Caenorhabditis elegans: one gene and its partners. The protein of the gene in region 2 interacts with the protein of the main gene of each other region in a pairwise test. Each region holds a gene or a part of one and is shown on either strand. Other genes may lie near its edges. The genes, in order: nhr-41, rnh-1.3, rtfo-1 and his-72.

Evidence for each region.
Region 1: the proteins of rnh-1.3 (region 2) and nhr-41 interact in a two-hybrid assay, tested with the Caenorhabditis elegans proteins (one large-scale study listed by BioGRID).
Region 3: the proteins of rnh-1.3 (region 2) and rtfo-1 interact in a two-hybrid assay, tested with the Caenorhabditis elegans proteins (one large-scale study listed by BioGRID).
Region 4: the proteins of rnh-1.3 (region 2) and his-72 interact in a two-hybrid assay, tested with the Caenorhabditis elegans proteins (one large-scale study listed by BioGRID).

Annotation. Positions count from the first base shown.
Region 1 is NC_003282.8:1,384,556-1,389,249, forward strand, and holds the start of nhr-41 (Nuclear Hormone Receptor family), read left to right. Parts: upstream 1-1,659; 5' UTR 1,660-1,733; coding exon 1,734-1,736; intron 1,737-3,287; coding exon 3,288-3,405; intron 3,406-3,458; coding exon 3,459-3,595; intron 3,596-3,660; exon of another isoform or gene 3,661-3,732; intron 3,733-4,052; coding exon 4,053-4,148; intron 4,149-4,694.
Region 2 is NC_003279.8:9,709,560-9,712,429, reverse strand, and holds rnh-1.3 (RNase H type-1 domain-containing protein), read left to right. Parts: upstream 1-1,684; 5' UTR 1,685-1,686; coding exon 1,687-1,774; intron 1,775-1,822; coding exon 1,823-1,914; intron 1,915-1,961; coding exon 1,962-2,150; intron 2,151-2,219; coding exon 2,220-2,270; 3' UTR 2,271-2,342; downstream 2,343-2,870. Other genes in the region: fce-1 (CAAX prenyl protease 1 homolog), read left to right, coding at 35-755, 802-869, 915-1,223.
Region 3 is NC_003283.11:9,579,525-9,584,425, reverse strand, and holds rtfo-1 (RNA polymerase-associated protein RTF1 homolog), read left to right. Parts: upstream 1-1,781; 5' UTR 1,782-1,798; coding exon 1,799-1,953; intron 1,954-2,007; coding exon 2,008-2,374; intron 2,375-2,418; coding exon 2,419-2,887; intron 2,888-2,942; coding exon 2,943-3,509; intron 3,510-3,559; coding exon 3,560-3,752; intron 3,753-3,797; coding exon 3,798-3,888; 3' UTR 3,889-4,385; downstream 4,386-4,901. Other genes in the region: F25B3.2 (CTCK domain-containing protein), read right to left, coding at 4,480-4,551, 4,611-4,705. UniProt on the Caenorhabditis elegans protein: Component of the PAF1 complex which is a multifunctional complex involved in transcription initiation via genetic interactions with TATA-binding proteins, elongation and transcription-coupled histone modification.
Region 4 is NC_003281.10:12,367,109-12,370,903, reverse strand, and holds his-72 (Histone H3.3 type 2), read left to right. Parts: upstream 1-1,853; coding exon 1,854-1,860; intron 1,861-2,359; exon of another isoform or gene 2,360-2,585; intron 2,586-2,739; coding exon 2,740-3,028; intron 3,029-3,087; coding exon 3,088-3,247; downstream 3,248-3,795. Other genes in the region: rpt-6 (26S proteasome regulatory subunit 8), read right to left, coding at 1-265, 318-443; Y75B8A.33 (DUF221-domain-containing protein), read left to right, coding at 3,531-3,582. UniProt on the Caenorhabditis elegans protein: Variant histone H3 which replaces conventional H3 in a wide range of nucleosomes in active genes. Constitutes the predominant form of histone H3 in non-dividing cells and is incorporated into chromatin independently of DNA synthesis.

The DNA of each region.
Region 1 (4,694 bases), on a different chromosome or scaffold from region 2:
CTCGAATTCTTCATCAAAATTCTAGTCAAATTGGCCCCCATATTGAGCCATTTCCTATAAGTTTGAAAAATAGGTCGCGGTGGCTTCGCTGGGTAGAGGTTGGGCTGACGCGCGGAAGACAGGGGTTCAATCCCCGCTGTAGGTGAATATTTTTGTGAGACTTTTTCCATCTAACAAGAAAAGAATCTCGAGTTGGAAACTAGGTTGAACCCTGTATGTGAAATTTTTGGCCCAAAAAACCGGAAATTTTCAATTTTCGCCGCGATGGCTCAGTGGCTAACAGGTTTGGCTGTGAATCTCGACACCAGGGTTCGACCCCAGCCGGTCCCAAATTTTTTTTCCGGTACATTTTTGATCATATGAAATGGGTAAATATTGTCGAAAAAAATTTCCAAAAAAAAATTAACAACAAATCCTCACAGCTAATACTTAAGCAACAAAGCCGCTCACCTATAAATTATCTTAATGAAAATGAAAAAAGAAAATCCGCCCCGGCCGGCACAGAAGAAAAAAATTATTTAACAGATTGAGTTCACGGCTCCGCTAAACACCGATTATCCCCCGGTAGCGGGGGATATGATTTTTGGGGATTTTTCAAGGATTTTCTATACTTTCCATATTTTGATGAAAAAAATTTTACTCCATCAGTGTAACTTTTTTGACAAAATTTGTGAGAGTTACATTTTTGTAAATTTTTTCCAAAATAATGAAAAAAATGTGTGTAATGTCAAAATTACTTTAAAACAGGGGAAACTATGTTAAATTAAGCTGTGCAAAAATGTTCTGGTGCACGTTGGGGTCGAGCCCTTGACCTTCTGCGCCATAGCCTAACATGTACCCAGTTCAGCACACATTTTCACGAAATTTCTAAAAAATTTCAAAATTATCTTAATTAGGCCAATATGGGAGTCACGTTGAAATTTAATGGAGAATTCGAATTTGACGTTTAATTTACTAAAATTTAATTTTTTCAACGAAAATTACTCGACACATGGAAAGTGTTGAAAACTAGTTTCTAGCTCGAAATTTTGTATTTTTGTCACTCAAAAAATTGCAACAAAAACTTATGACCAAGCTGGGACTCGAACCCCTGACCTTCTGCACCATAACCCAGCCTCTACCCGATTGAGCCACTTCGCCCCATTTTCCGAAATTTTTGACAATTTAAAAACTACCGAAATAGGTCAATATGGGGGTCATATTGACGGAAATTTTTTGTAAAATTCGAATTTTTAGGTTTAAAACGTTTAAACCCAAATGCTAAAGACTTAAATGTTCGTTTTCCTCAAAAGTTGTGACCTTTTTTTTTGCAACTTTGTTATACCAAAACCGCAACACATAGTACAGTTCCCCCCGCCCCCAAAATTCGTTCCGCGTTGCTATTAGCATACAATGCCCCCCACGGTCACTCACCTCTGTGTGCACTCTCCCGGTTTCGCGCACTATTTCCCACGCCGCGCGCCACACCGCTTGAAACATATTTCCAGTTGGTCAGCAGCGGCTGACTGACCGGCGGCGCGGTGATAAGGGGGAGAGTCTCCAGGAATAACGGTCTGAAACACCTCTCACTGTACTACTATATTATTCTCTCTTGTTTCTGTATACTCATGTACACTTTGCCAAAGTGCTCTGATCACCCACATCGTCCCCTTATTCTAGAAAATTCCACGTCATCAACTGGGCTAATATTTGCTGAGAGTCAAGCTTCAGCATCCCATCAAACTTGGATTAATATGGTGAGTTTTCTGAGGAAACGTTCATTTTTGTACATTTTTTAGGTTTTACTGAAGAACTAGCACTCAAATCGAAAATATTTCGGTACTTGTGTATTACATGTCCTCATTTTTAAATTAAATTAAACGGTTACTCGTGAATTTTTAGCTGCGAATCTCCAAAACCAAGCTCACGGCGAGCTCTCAAAGATCCTGAAAATAGCACTTTAACGAAGTAGTGAAGGGCCAATTTTCCAAATTTACTTTGGTAGCTCATATCTCAGCGGATAAATTTTTTACCGAAAAGTCATCAACTAATATGTTGTTGATATTTTTGTAAAGAACAAGTTTGTAGTTGAAAGTTTTTGTCAAAAAAATTGTTGTTTCAGATAGAAGCGCATGAAGTGCGGCAACTGCTGCTATTGCGATTTTAATGCTTTTATCTAAAACAAAAAACTTTTGGTAAAAACTTTTAACTACAAACTTGTTCTTTACAAAAAGTTCAACAATTTATCAGTTGATGACTTTTCTTTGAAAAATTTATCCGCAGAGATATGAGCTACCAAAGTGAATAAGGAAAATTGCTTGTTTTGATCGTAAAGTGCTTCGTTACAGTGCTATTTTAGGATATTTGAGAGCTCGCCGTGAGCTTGGTTCTGGAGATTCGCAGCTATCGAATGGCACAGGTTTCATATGCAAGTCCGATGGGCACCTTCTGACGGTTCCCTAGTTAGGAAATTTTATTTCCTAAGCCTAAAAATCCAAAAGTGTGGTTCACGTTTTTATTTTGCACAACTTAAAAAATTACTATAAAAATGAGGGCATGTAATACACAAGTACCAATATTTCAATTAAAATGTATTCAACGTTAAATTCTACACCAATTTACCGCACAATACAAAACAATTTCTGAAAAAAACTTTTTTTCGGGACAATTGTTTAAAAAATTTTTAAAGGCTAATTTTTCAATTTTTCAATTATTTTATTAAAACATTCGAATCTTCCGTCTAAAATCTCTAAAATCCGTTAATTTACCCCCATATTGCCCTATTTCCGATAAGTTAAATTTGGTCTCGGTGGCTCAGTCGGGTATCTGTTGGTCTAGACTATGACGCAGAAGACCGGGGTTCTAGTCCGGTAGGAGGGATTTTCTTTTTATTTTGATTTCTTGTACAAAATAACATGTAAAAGTCTAAATTATGGGAGTTAAAAAAAGATTTACGAAAAAAAAATTCTAAAATGAAATTCCTGTCACTCTAAAACTGTTTCAACCATCAAAACAGTTATAGTAAAAAATAAAAACCACAACTGGGCTCGAACCCTCGACCTTCTGACTCAGCCTAACCTCTGACCAGCTGAGCCACTGGGACCCAATTTTTTGACTTTTCTAAAAATTTCAAAATTTTTGTAAATTGGTCAATATGGGTGTCAACTTAACGGAAATTTCATGGAGAATTCGAATTTGACAATGAATATCTTTTAAAAAAATTCTCTGAATTTAAAGTTTGGAAAAATTGTCTTAAACAGGCTAATTAACTGGAAAGTTTATGAAAAATTATAATTTTCTTATTCCAGACGCTGGGTGACCCTTGCTCCGTCGAGCAACCCCCACCTCCACCCATCGATTTCTCACGGAGCCTAATTGCTCCGACCGCTATCAAACAAGAATCTCACCTAATTCCCTCAACGCCAGGTAATATTCTAATTAATTTTTTTCGAATAAAAAATAAATATAAATATGTTCAGGCACCCCAACAGCTTTCCAACCCCCACAGCATGCGAACACACCAATCCCTGGTATTCAGCCGAATTTGTTCAATCCGGCAATAATGGCGGCTCAACTAAACGTATTCAGCAACCCACAGTTGATGGCAATGATGCAGGTAAACTATTTTCTGCAAAAATGAGAATTCGGCAAAACTGGCAGTGCAAAAATAAAAAAATAAACTTCCCATGCCGGGAATCGAACCCGGGCCGCGTGGGTGAAAACCACGAATCCTAACCACTAGACCACATGGGAGGACGAAACGAGGAGGTCTCGAGTGCCTAGAGAAGAGTGTGCGGGAGGGGCCTGCTGACTGTAGCGGAAAAAGTTATATGGCGGGGGCAAAAAGAATGTCCAATTTTTTTCGAAAAAAAAACGAAATATCTCTCAAATTCTCGACCCTAATGAAAAATTACTATGTGTCTATGTGTGTGGAAGGTCATTCGATAACCTTTTTTTTCCCTCAAAAAAATATCATGAAAGGTTTGATCTCGTTTTCAAAAATATTTTTTAACTTTTGCCCCAAAATTTGTTTTTTTTTTGTTAAATTCTCCCTTAAATTTTTGAATTTCCAGGCTACCAGAAACCCATTGTTAGGACACCCGTCAGTTGTCGGTCCACCAATGATGCCAAATATCATTCAACAGCTAAATGCCCTTCGAAATGTTCAGGTAAAAAAAATGTTGCTCAAAGAACTTTTTTTCAAAAAAATTTTCCAATTTTTCCGATTTTCTAGGATTCCTTTTTATTTTAACACACTTTAACTATCCAAACAAACCTTGAGAAAAACATTTTCCCTTACTTGGGCTCGAACCCCGGTCTTGTGCGCTACAGCCCAACCTCTACCCAGTTGCGCCACTTCGATCCATTTTCAAAAATTTTAAAATAATTAGAATCCGGTCATTATGGGGGTCAAATTAACGGAAATTGCACGCAGAATCCGAATTTCGACATGAAAAACAATGAAAATCAATGCCTCAACCTAAAAAAACACAAAATTTTAACTAGAATTAAAACAATTTTAGGTTAGGACTTGGAGTTTTTCAAATCATTTACTAAATTTTCTGCGTATACCTAATATTCCAATACCCTTTTTTCCAAAAGTTTGGACTACAAGGACAGTGTCGCGAGCGCGCGCGCTCTCTCTAAAAACAGGTTTTGATCACCGGTCGAATTGTAGCTCCGCCCACTTTCCGGGGTCCTCAGGTGACCTCTAC
Region 2 (2,870 bases):
TGAAGTTTACTTTAAATGAAAAAATAATTTTCAGGCACAATTGATTGGAGGATATTATCCATTCCTTTGGTACGCAACGGCTAGTTATCCATTGCATGTGGCTGTATTTCTCTCAATAAACTCAATAATTGAAACAATCATCGATTTACCTTGGGATCTATATTCCACTTTTATTATCGAAGATGCCCATGGATTCAATAAACAAACTATTGGATTCTATTTCGTTGACAAAATTAAGAAAATGCTCGTCGGATTTGCTCTCACTATGCCAATCGTTTATGGAATTGAATGGATTATTGTCAATGGTGGACCATACTTCTTTGTCTATATTTGGTTATTTGTTTCTGTTGTTGTGCTACTTTTGATGACCATTTATCCAACTTTCATCGCTCCACTCTTCGACAAATATTTCCCATTGCCTGATGGAGATCTCAAGACGAAAATTGAACAATTAGCTGCTTCTCTCAGTTATCCATTAACTGAACTTTACGTTGTCAATGGCTCAAAACGCTCGGCTCACTCCAATGCTTACATGTATGGATTCTGGAAGAACAAGCGCATTGTGCTCTATGATACTTTGCTAAGTGGAGCTGAAAAGGAGAAAGTACATGAATTGTATGTGGCAGCTGGAGAGAAAATCGAAGAAACTGAAAACGACAAAAAGAGAGGAATGAACAACGATGAAGTTGTGGCCGTTCTGGGCCATGAATTGGGTCATTGGGCTTTATGGCACACTTTGATCAATCTTGTCATCAGTAAGTTGATTTAACTGAACTCACAGCAAAACGTAGAATTTTTCAGCTGAAGTCAACTTGTTCTTCTCTTTTGCAGTTTTTGGATACTTTTATAAATGGGAAGCCCTCTATCAAGTAATTATATTTAAACCATTAAATTCTTAAAATTTTAATTTTCAGGGATTCGGCTATCACGATACTCCACCAGTCATTGGCATGATGCTCATCTTCCAATTTGTCCTCGCTCTCTACAATCAACTCGCTAGTATTGGAATGGTTATTCACTCCCGTTCTGCTGAATTTGGAGCTGACGAGTTTGCTGCTAACCTCGGACACGGAGAAAATCTTATTGGAGCTTTGACCAAGCTTGGTGTTGACAATCTGTCGATGCCTATCAATGACTCACTCTACTCATGGTGCACTCACACACATCCTCCAGTTGTTGAAAGAGTAGCTGCTGTTAGAGCCTTCCAGGCAAAGAATAAATAAATTCCCATGTTTTACTACTTGTTTCTTGAATGCCAAAGTATTTTATATAATTTAATTTATGATTGTAATGTGATATTATTGCATTTTTTGAACTTAAATTTCGTTAATATTCTCTATAGTAAATAAATTTTTTTAAACAAAAACTGGAAATACAATTAAATTCCAAGGAAAATTTTAAAACGGAACGAGACTGATCTCTCGGTCTCTCATTCGCACAAACTGTCTCATAGAAGGGTCTCGCCGCGACTCAAATACAGTACCCGCGGAGAACAAAAAAAATGTTTTCTAGAATGTTCGCTTTATTGTTGTTTTGTTTTGTTAATTCCCGGGAATTTCCAGAAGTTTGCTTTCTTCTGCGAAACAATTCATATCATCATTTTGTTTTTATTAAGATCTCCGTTTTCATTCTTCTTTTCTCTCTCGCATGCTTTTTTCCTATCAAATGAACTGAAATTTTAAAGAAATGCCGTACGACTTCTACACCGACGGTTCCGCTCTCGGAAACGGCCAACAAGGCTCCAGAGGAGGCTATGGAGTTCACGTTCCAAGTGGTACGGTTTTTTGTGCAATTAATTGTTCCTTATTTGAACATATTTCAGATACATCGAAGAATGTGAGTGGCTCTTATCCACACGGACCACAAACCAACAATCGATATGAGCTGGAAGCCATCAAGCACGCCACCCAAATGGTAATTTTCAAACATTCGTACCAACATTCAATTTTCTGCATTTTCAGGCTCGTGATGTTCCAGACAGCCACGTGAGAATCCACACTGATTCCAAGAACGCGAAGGATTCTGTCACCAAATGGAATGACAACTGGAAGTCGAATGGCTACAAAACTTCTTCGGGACAAGATGTGAAGAATCAGGATCTCATCAGAGATATCGACCGCAATGTTCAAGCGCTCAAGCATAGTGGAAAGGTAAGATTATAATTATTATATATAATTCATAAAACACCGCTTTTTAATGGAAATAATTAAAAATTACAGACTGTCGAGTTCGAGCATGTCCGCGGACATAGCAATAGAATGTACATTTGAGTACCCAAGCCCTCTATTTTTCCCGCATCTTTCCTTTTTGAATAAAAGCAATAAAGATGAATAGTGGATAAACTTTCTTGGATTGAAGGAATATGCTCCGAAACACTGGGAAAGCTTCTTGAAAATATCAAGAATCGCGAGTACGGTAGCTGATATAGTGTATCTCATTTCAAGTCCTGGTCTCGAAGAGAAGTGATTTTTGCGCCAAAACTACGACATCCGAAAAAAACAAGAAAAATCTATGAAAATTCCGGAGCAACGAAAGTTTGAAACTACAGTACTCGTTAAAGGCGCACACCTCTTTGCCTTGAACAAAAATGTGTCGTGTTGAGACCAGGCACTGTACCGTTGGCGTAAAAATCGCAAAATTTCGGTTAATACGATCTTCAAAAATATTCAAACATTTTTTTTTTAATTGAATGAATGTTTGACAACTTTTGTGAAATCACAGCTCACTCGCTCTATTCAACGTATTTGCTCGCACCCAAACAGTTTGTGTGATCCGAAATGTTTTTTTTATAGAGCAGATTGCTCTTTTCGCAGTGAGCATTGCTTGCATTGCACCGCGAGCAGGCCAAAAACATCAGTCTATTTTCTCTT
Region 3 (4,901 bases), on a different chromosome or scaffold from region 2:
GGCAGGTAGATGAGTAATCATGATGAGTTCTAATAAAGTAGTGAACGTTGCAGGCTCATAGCCATTTCAAATATTCAAATTTTCAATATTCATTCAGAATGCGTGATGAGAGGTACGTCGTCACGCAATACAATTGCCGGTTTTGTGAGAAGGAAGAGAGATCGATTAGAATGAAAGTGATATAGAGAGGAGAAACCACTTGGCTGGATAAACATGTACTTGATGGTTAGAACTGTCGGAAAAGCAAAATGGATTGTGTTCGAGAAAATATGAACATTTGGAAAGTTTTGAGTTCTGAAGCTTTAAAAGAATAATAAGATAAAATACGTTCACAAAGTCTTTTGAAATTTTATACGGGCAACTCGGACTGAAAAAGTTAGACAATCAATGTGAAATCGGGTTTTTTACAGAAAGTCTCTATATTTAGCGTTAAATTAAAATTGAATGTTACTAATGTGAACATTTGTTGAATTGGACATCAAGATTTTGTTTCGCAATTATTTACCGTAATCTTGAAGGCGCATATACAAATATATAGAGGGCCGTAAATTGATACGAGCTACAGTAACTCGTTGTCCGAGTGGCGAGACCCCTGCGAGTAAAGTATAACCAACATTAAAATATCTAAACGTCTGCGTTATACGGAATTTTTTATGTATTAAACACAAATGAGTCTCTCTTAAAAACTCGTAGAAAGAAAACATGCAGTATTTCAATAATCAGATAACTTACCAAAATTAAACTCTGCCTCAGCTGCTCCTCCATTGTGTCGATGGGATTCGAACCGCAAATTCTTCATTTTCTTCGAAAACTTCGCTTACTACTTCTACTAATTGTCGAATGGCAACAGGAAACACGAAAAGAAAGATTATCCTTTATTTCTGATTCTCTGTATCTCCAGGTCTACCTAAACACTTTAATAGAACAACTGTTCACTAAAGAGCATTTGATCTTTCTTTTTTCGTTTTTTCTTCTCTTACATCGTTTAACCTGGAAAAGGGGTTGTATTTCCGTAAGCCATCTACCCTTGTCTCTTCTTATGTTTTTTTCTTGATTAATGGTTTTTGAGAATACTGTGAGAGCATAAGAGATTTGAAAAACCTATAAGAACACTTCGGATTCCCACAGGATGGGCACTAAAGAATTAGTTTTTCTAAACTTCAGAAAATGGGAGTGTCTCTCAATTTCCTTATCGATTATAAAAGTGTTTGGTATTTATATATAAATCCATTAAATATACATAGCTTGCACCATGACCTACAGCAACAGAAGCCAATATCCCAATTGTGTGCGACAACCTTGCAAAATAGCGTGCGCGGCTTGCAAAGTGGGCGGGACTAAATGTATTGACACTGTGCAGTTTGAATGTAAAAATTTATTCTTAATTTTCGGTATTTTCTTTGGTTTTTCGTTATTATAATTGATTTTTAATGATTCTTTATTATTATCTTAATTCAAAGAGTAGAAAAACTTTATTGCACCCGTCCTTTTTGTTTCTCGAATCCAATATTGACACATTTTTTGAGAAACTTAAGTTTTTTCTTAATTTTTCGAATATTTTCGACAAAAACGCGCATATATCATTAAAAATATGACACTTTTCCTTGTTTCTTTTATTTGTTTAAATATTTGTATGAAACCTATTGTTCGTAGCCATCTTGCAACTGTGTGTCGATATCGATTTTCCCAGAACAAATGTCAGACGCTCTACATCACTTTTATACAACCGTTTCTTCTCACCGTTCTCTAATAATTTATTCAATTCATAATTATGTTCTCAGGGTCAGTTTAATCAACAATGTCTTCCTCTGAGAGTGCTTCATCAGACGAAGAGACAAAACGCCGTGCTCCAGCCACTTCAGATTCCGATTCTGACTCAGACGCAGGTCCAAAACCTGGAAAACCTCTCAGTACCGACTCCTCGGCATCCGATTCAGATGCCGAAAAACCACAGTGAGTTTTACTGTTTTCTATCCAAAAAAAAGTTATACGAGTTTCCATTTTCAGGGCAAAGCCTGCAAAAAAGAAGACTTTAACAAAGCGAAAGCGGCGAGCTACTGGAAGTAGTGACGATGACCAAGTAGATGATGATTTATTTGCTGACAAAGAAGACAAAGCAAGATGGAAGAAATTGACAGAATTGGAAAAGGAGCAAGAAATTTTTGAAAGGATGGAGGCTCGTGAAAACGCGATTGCTCGAGAAGAAATTGCTCAACAACTTGCTAAAAAAGCAAAGAAAAGTTCTGAAAAGGGAGTCAAAACCGAAAAACGAAGGAAAATGAACAGTGGTGGAAGTGATGCAGGTTCCCCGAAACGCAAAGCTTCATCGGATTCCGATTCTGAGATGGATGCTGCTTTCCACCGACCCAGTGATGTAAGTTTATTTTTTTATTTTTCAAATAAAAATTTTTATTCCAGATTAACCGCAAACATAAAGAGAAGAATGCTATGGATGCTCTGAAGAACAAACGTAAAGAGATCGAAAAGAAAAATGCAAAAAACGAAGCACTCTCTATCGATGCTGTTTTTGGAGCTAATTCGGGATCTTCAAGTTCGTCTAGTTCAAGCGAAAGCTCTCGTTCATCATCTTCTTCCCGCGAATCATCACCAGAACGTGTATCCGAAAAAGATAAGATAGTAAAGAAAGATGTTGATGGACTTTCGGAACTTCGAAGAGCTCGATTGTCCCGTCATAAACTTTCATTGATGATTCATGCCCCATTCTTTGATTCTACTGTCGTAGGATGCTATGTTCGACTTGGACAAGGGCAAATGAGTGGCTCAGGAAGCAAATATCGGATATGGAAGATTGTCGGTGTGGAGGAATCCAACAAAGTCTACGAATTGGAAGGAAAAAAGACAAATAAAATCATAAAATGTCAGAATGGTGAGTTGTTTATTTACTTGTGAAAATTTGAAATCTGTTACAACCTTAACTGCAGGTGGATCAGAACGACCATTCCGTATGCAATTCGTTTCAAATGCTGATTTCGAACAAATTGAGTTTGATGAATGGCTTCTGGCATGTAAGAGACACGGAAATCTTCCAACCGTCGATATTATGGATAAGAAAAAACAAGATATCGAAAAAGCAATCAACCACAAGTATTCGGACAAAGAAGTCGATCTGATGATCAAGGAAAAGAGCAAATATCAAACAGTTCCACGAAATTTCGCTATGACAAAAGCTAATTGGTCCAAGCAAAAAGAGCTGGCTCAACAACGAGGTGACATTCGAGAAGCCGAACAAATTCAAACTAAAATCGATGAGATTGAACGACAAGCTGATGAATTGGAGAAAGAGCGAAGCAAGTCAATTAGTGCGATTGCGTTCATTAACCATAGGAATCGATCAAAAATAAAGGACCAAGTCCTGAGTGGGCAATTGAAGATCGAAGAGAATTCACAGGATGATCCTTTTACACGTAAGAAGGGAGGTATGCGTGTTGTTTCTGGATCTAAATCAAGACTTGACGGAACTCTTTCCGCATCTTCATCAACCACAAATTGTAAGTTAATAGGAAATATCAATTTTTTGACATAACTTTATAATTTTCAGTATCTGACGGCGGAAAAGACAAAAGTTCATCATTGGCTAAACCGACGCAACCTCCTCCATCTACTCAAATAAAGAAAAAAACTGATATATCCAGTCTGCATGACTTTGATCTAGACATCGATTTGGGTAAATTGAAGGATTTTAGTACGCCGGAATCGTCAGGAAACAAACGTCCATCAATTAGTTCTTCCAAGTTAGCACATCTTATAGTGGACTATTTTAATTGCTATATTTTCAGAGGAGTGTCACTTAGTGATTATCGAATGCGTCGATCAGGAGGTGGTGACGCTGGATCCTCCACATCAGCTGCACCATCCTCAGCAGTTTGAACTGTCTTTTTCTACATCTCTTTGATTTTCTCAGCGTTACCCCCCTCATCCCTCATCGTTACGTTTTACTTATTTTCTTTCGTTTTATAAACTGATCAAAACTTGTTCAATTCCTTCATTATACTATTCCGTTCATTTTTTCCAATTTTTGAGAACACATTTTTTTAGCTTTTAATTTCGTCAGAATAAAATAAATCGTAATAAAGATAGCAATTGCAGAATGCAAGAAATGGAACATTTTATGAATCCTTCACCGTTTGTTTTAGATCTTTCCCACTCACTGATACTCCTCACCAATCCCAAACCTTTAATTTTAAATTTTCTATGTGATTCTATTGATTTTCACCCTCATTCATCTTTTCATGTTTTATTCCTTTTTTGATTCCTTGTGACTACTGTATTCCTAGGTTAACGGATGTAAACCAAAAATCTGTGTGAATTTTTTGAAACTTTTCTAATAATTTTTCGTGCAATTAATGAATAAACTCAAAGTTCTTTTCACGTTTTTATTCCATCTTTCAGGATTAGAAACCCGGTATACAGAAATGGTTTGGAATGTGAACGAAGAATTGTAATTTAACATCTTAAGCGCTACAGCTCTTTACTCGGCTTGGCTCGAAGAAATGAGCTTTTGCTCAGTGAGCATTGACAGGCAACAGGGAGCTGGAAAGGAAGGGATTAGATTATTTCGAGATTAATACAATAAGAGAAATAAGACAAACCTGGATTTGTTCAACAATCCAATCCTCACAATTATCATCCCCTGTGTTTCGTAGAACTTTGAATGAGAGGGTCTGAATGCCACATTGACCATGAGCTGGAAATATATTTCAATCACAAATTACATGTAATCAACGGACCCCTCAGTTGAAAAACGTAGAACGCTCTCATTACGTAAACGTCCAAATTGATCATTTTCGCCATACAATACGTACATGGGTCTCGCCACGCAGACATTGACATACAGTAGCTCGTGTCGATTTACGGGGCCTACATTGTCTCATGTTTTAAAT
Region 4 (3,795 bases), on a different chromosome or scaffold from region 2:
AGCTGTCGGCTCGGAGTGCAACACGTGCTCCTGTGTTCAGTGAGTTGATATCAATGGATTTATCCACGTCGACGACATATTTTCCTTCTGGATGAACTTTCACAAGAACTTTCTTCTTATCCATGGCTTTGCTCACTTCACCGACGTAACTTCCTTGCTCGTGGAGCTGCTGAAGCTCTTCTTTCAGCATACGAACTTTTGTGTTGAGCTCATTACGCTGAGCTTGCAGACGACGCACATTTTGTGATTTGTCGGCCACTTTTTGCTGAAATACTTGATAAACCCTTGGGCTAAACTTTTTAAAAAATACAACAAACCTGCGCATCATCGACTTTTGTGCTGAAATATTTGCGAAGAGTTTTCTCATCGGATTCTTCGGTCAATTTTTGAGCCGTTGGCTTAGAAGGGTCAGCTGATGAAGCAGTAGAAGCAGGTGGAGCCATTAACACTGGAAAAAATAAATAATAGCTTTAAATAAGTTGAGACTAATAAAAACTGAAATAACACGACAAGAAACGTGTGGATCTCTCATTTTTCCCTGGAAATTGAATTTTCAAGCCAATTTATCGAAAAAATCGCCTAAAAAAACGAATTCAAACCTTGAAAACTGATAAAAATTGAGAAACTTTAAAAATGATGATATTTCAACCGGAGAACCAATATGGCGTCAATTGTGGCGCCACGTACGCAATGCTGTACACGCCGACGCAAAAATGCACAGTTGTGTTTACGTTAAATTTAAAGAAATATTAGATTGATTTCCTCGTTTTCATGTTAATTTCTTGATGTTTTTCTTCGAAATTTAGAAAATTAAAGATTTTTCGTCCAATTTACTGTTTTTATCTTCAAAATTACCCGCAGAAATTTGTTATAAACCTTTATTTAGATCTGGAAATGCGTTTTTTTCTGAAACTTCCTCAAATCATTTAGAAAATATTAATATTTGAAGAGGAATATTTTTAGAGTATCCAGTATTTCAATTTTCTGTGGAATTGAGAAAAATTACTGTTTCTGTTTTTTTTTTTTTTTGAAATTTCAACTTGAACAGTAATCAGATTTTTTACTATTAGTGCAATTTCTTTGAATATTTTAAATAAAAAATCCTCCTCGATCCCAAGAAACTCCAATTTTTACTATATTTTCTCAAGAAATGCGTTCAAAGTCCGCAATCGCGCGAGAGCAGCGGCGACACTGAAGAGACCGCAGAGAAGCGGCACGCATTTCGGAAATAGTGTGTGTTTGCAAGAGAGTGGCCCCCCGATTAAACTAGCGCGCGTAAAATTTTTGCATTTTGTTGTTTCGTTCCGTCTGGAAAATTCGAATTTCGCAGCATTTTAATTCATATCTCAGCTCATTTCGCATATTTTTTCCTGAAAATTTCCAGTTTGGTCCGTTACCTTATTCCGGTTAATATACTCGAATTTCATAAAAATCTACGGATGAATCGCTAAGTTATCGCTAGAAATGAAATTCTTTAAAAAATTTTGCCCGATTAGTAATTTTTCTGAAAATCCACGTGGATTCAGGATCCTTCGCGACCTGAAGTTTAAAGTTAATTTTCCAGATTTTCAATGAGGATTTTTGAAAGATTTGATATTTCTTGGCATAAGTTTTCCAGCTTTAATCCGGATTTGGTCCAGACCCCACAAAATCGATACGACAAAAGGGGGGAGGAGGCGGAGACTTGGCACAATGCCAAGTCTTTGCTCTCTGTGTCGTCACGTGTCTTCGTGTTGGCTGAGTATCAAACGTTATAGTGTGGACACCAATTTGGCTTCGTACTTCTTACTCGTTCCCGCCCCGCCCCGACACCATTCGAATATATATTGTCAGTTGTTCTGTTTGTCGTCGTGATGAGAGGTGCGTGCGTGTGCGCGCGCGCTCTCCCAACTTTTCGGACCATTTTGCGGGCTTTATACTGCAATTTGGCTCATTTCTTCTCCTTTTTTTTCCACAGGCTTATTTTGTACTCTCGAGTTGACAGCCTTTTTCGGTATAGGTTGGAAGTAGTCCATTAAAGTAGATGTTTCTTAAGAATTTATCGGCTTAGCATCGATTTCGACCTAGTTAGATGCCACGTTTATGCGCGAAGCGGCCGCGTCGCGGCGAGAATTTCAGTGCGGTTTTACGGGATTATCCATTAAAATCAGGAAAATCAGCAGAAAACTTCTTAACAAAACTAATTTTTTTAGAAAAGAATTTAGAAATACGTAGTCTTGAATAATTCAGCAACTTTTTCAAATTTTATGAGAATTTCGCAATTTCCTACACCTCCTATTTCATCATCACTTCCGAAATCCTACGTTATCGATCGAACACGCGACGCGACCGCAGCGCACCTACTAAGCGCGCGCATTTCGACCGTGACGCGACCGCAACGCGGTGGTGTCAGGGTGCGCGCGCTTTTTCAATCATATGTGGTGCGGTCGATTCCTTCATTCATCCTTCTGTATGCAGCTGCTCATCAGTTTATTGAGCATCTGCTGTACCAATTCGTACTTTAAATTAAATATTAAGAGTACATTTTCTGTGTGCTCTGTATATAAATGTCTAGAATAAACTGCAAACAAGAATTCTTGGCTCCATCTTTCCCTGAATCAATATCGATCGATAGTGACACGCGACGCGACCGCAACGCGTAGGGCCATTTCATATTGATTCTTCTTCTACTCTTCCTTCTTCTCCTTCTGCTCTCACATTTCCTCACTATTCCAACCATTCTCAATTCTCAATTTCCAGAACAACAATGGCTCGTACCAAGCAAACCGCTCGTAAATCCACCGGAGGAAAGGCTCCAAGAAAGCAGTTGGCCACCAAGGCCGCCCGCAAATCGGCTCCAACCACCGGAGGAGTCAAGAAGCCACATCGTTACCGTCCAGGAACTGTCGCTCTCCGTGAGATTCGTCGTTACCAGAAGTCGACTGAGCTTCTCATCCGCAAGCTTCCTTTCCAACGTCTCGTTCGTGAGATTGCCCAGGACTTCAAGACTGATCTCCGCTTCCAGTCGGCTGCCATCGGAGCTCTCCAGGTTTGTAGTTTGAATTTGAAATTTAAAAAAAATTAATTAAAATCTTTTTTTTTTTCCAGGAGGCATCTGAAGCATACCTCGTCGGACTCTTCGAGGACACCAACCTGTGCGCCATCCACGCCAAGCGCGTCACCATCATGCCAAAGGACATGCAACTCGCCAGACGCATCCGCGGAGAACGTGCTTAAGCTCCATCACCAATTCTCGAAGCACTTTTAATATTCATTTAATCCAACTTGTACCATAATCCTCGTATTTTTCCATCCCGAAAATTGATTTTTGCGATCGAACCGCCGATCTCATCACCACTTTTCTCTCCGTTCTTTATGTCTTATTTTATTCGTAAATTGCTGAATTTCATGTTGAACTCCAACAAAAAAAAATAAAGTTTCGTGTGCTTCAGTAGTCTAGCAACATCATATGAACGCCTAGCAACTATATTCCACGCCGCCGCAGTTTTGAATTGAATTCACTAAATTCATGCTCTGAATTCACAAAAAAAATGTTTCTTCGAGTCATTGGAAATAGTAAAAAACGCCAGCGACTATTTATCAGTAAGTTTTAAAAGGGTCTCGTCGCGAAATTCACATTAAAAATATTAATTTTCTGTATGTACCTTTAAAATTACTGTAGAAAATCTATCAGATGGGTCTTGGCGCGCAAAACGCAAAAAATAAATTGATTTCATTGCATGCTTTTTCCGCGCCGAGACCCATCTAACCTAAATTTTTCAAAAAGGTGTGCGCCTTTAAAGATTACTGTAGTTT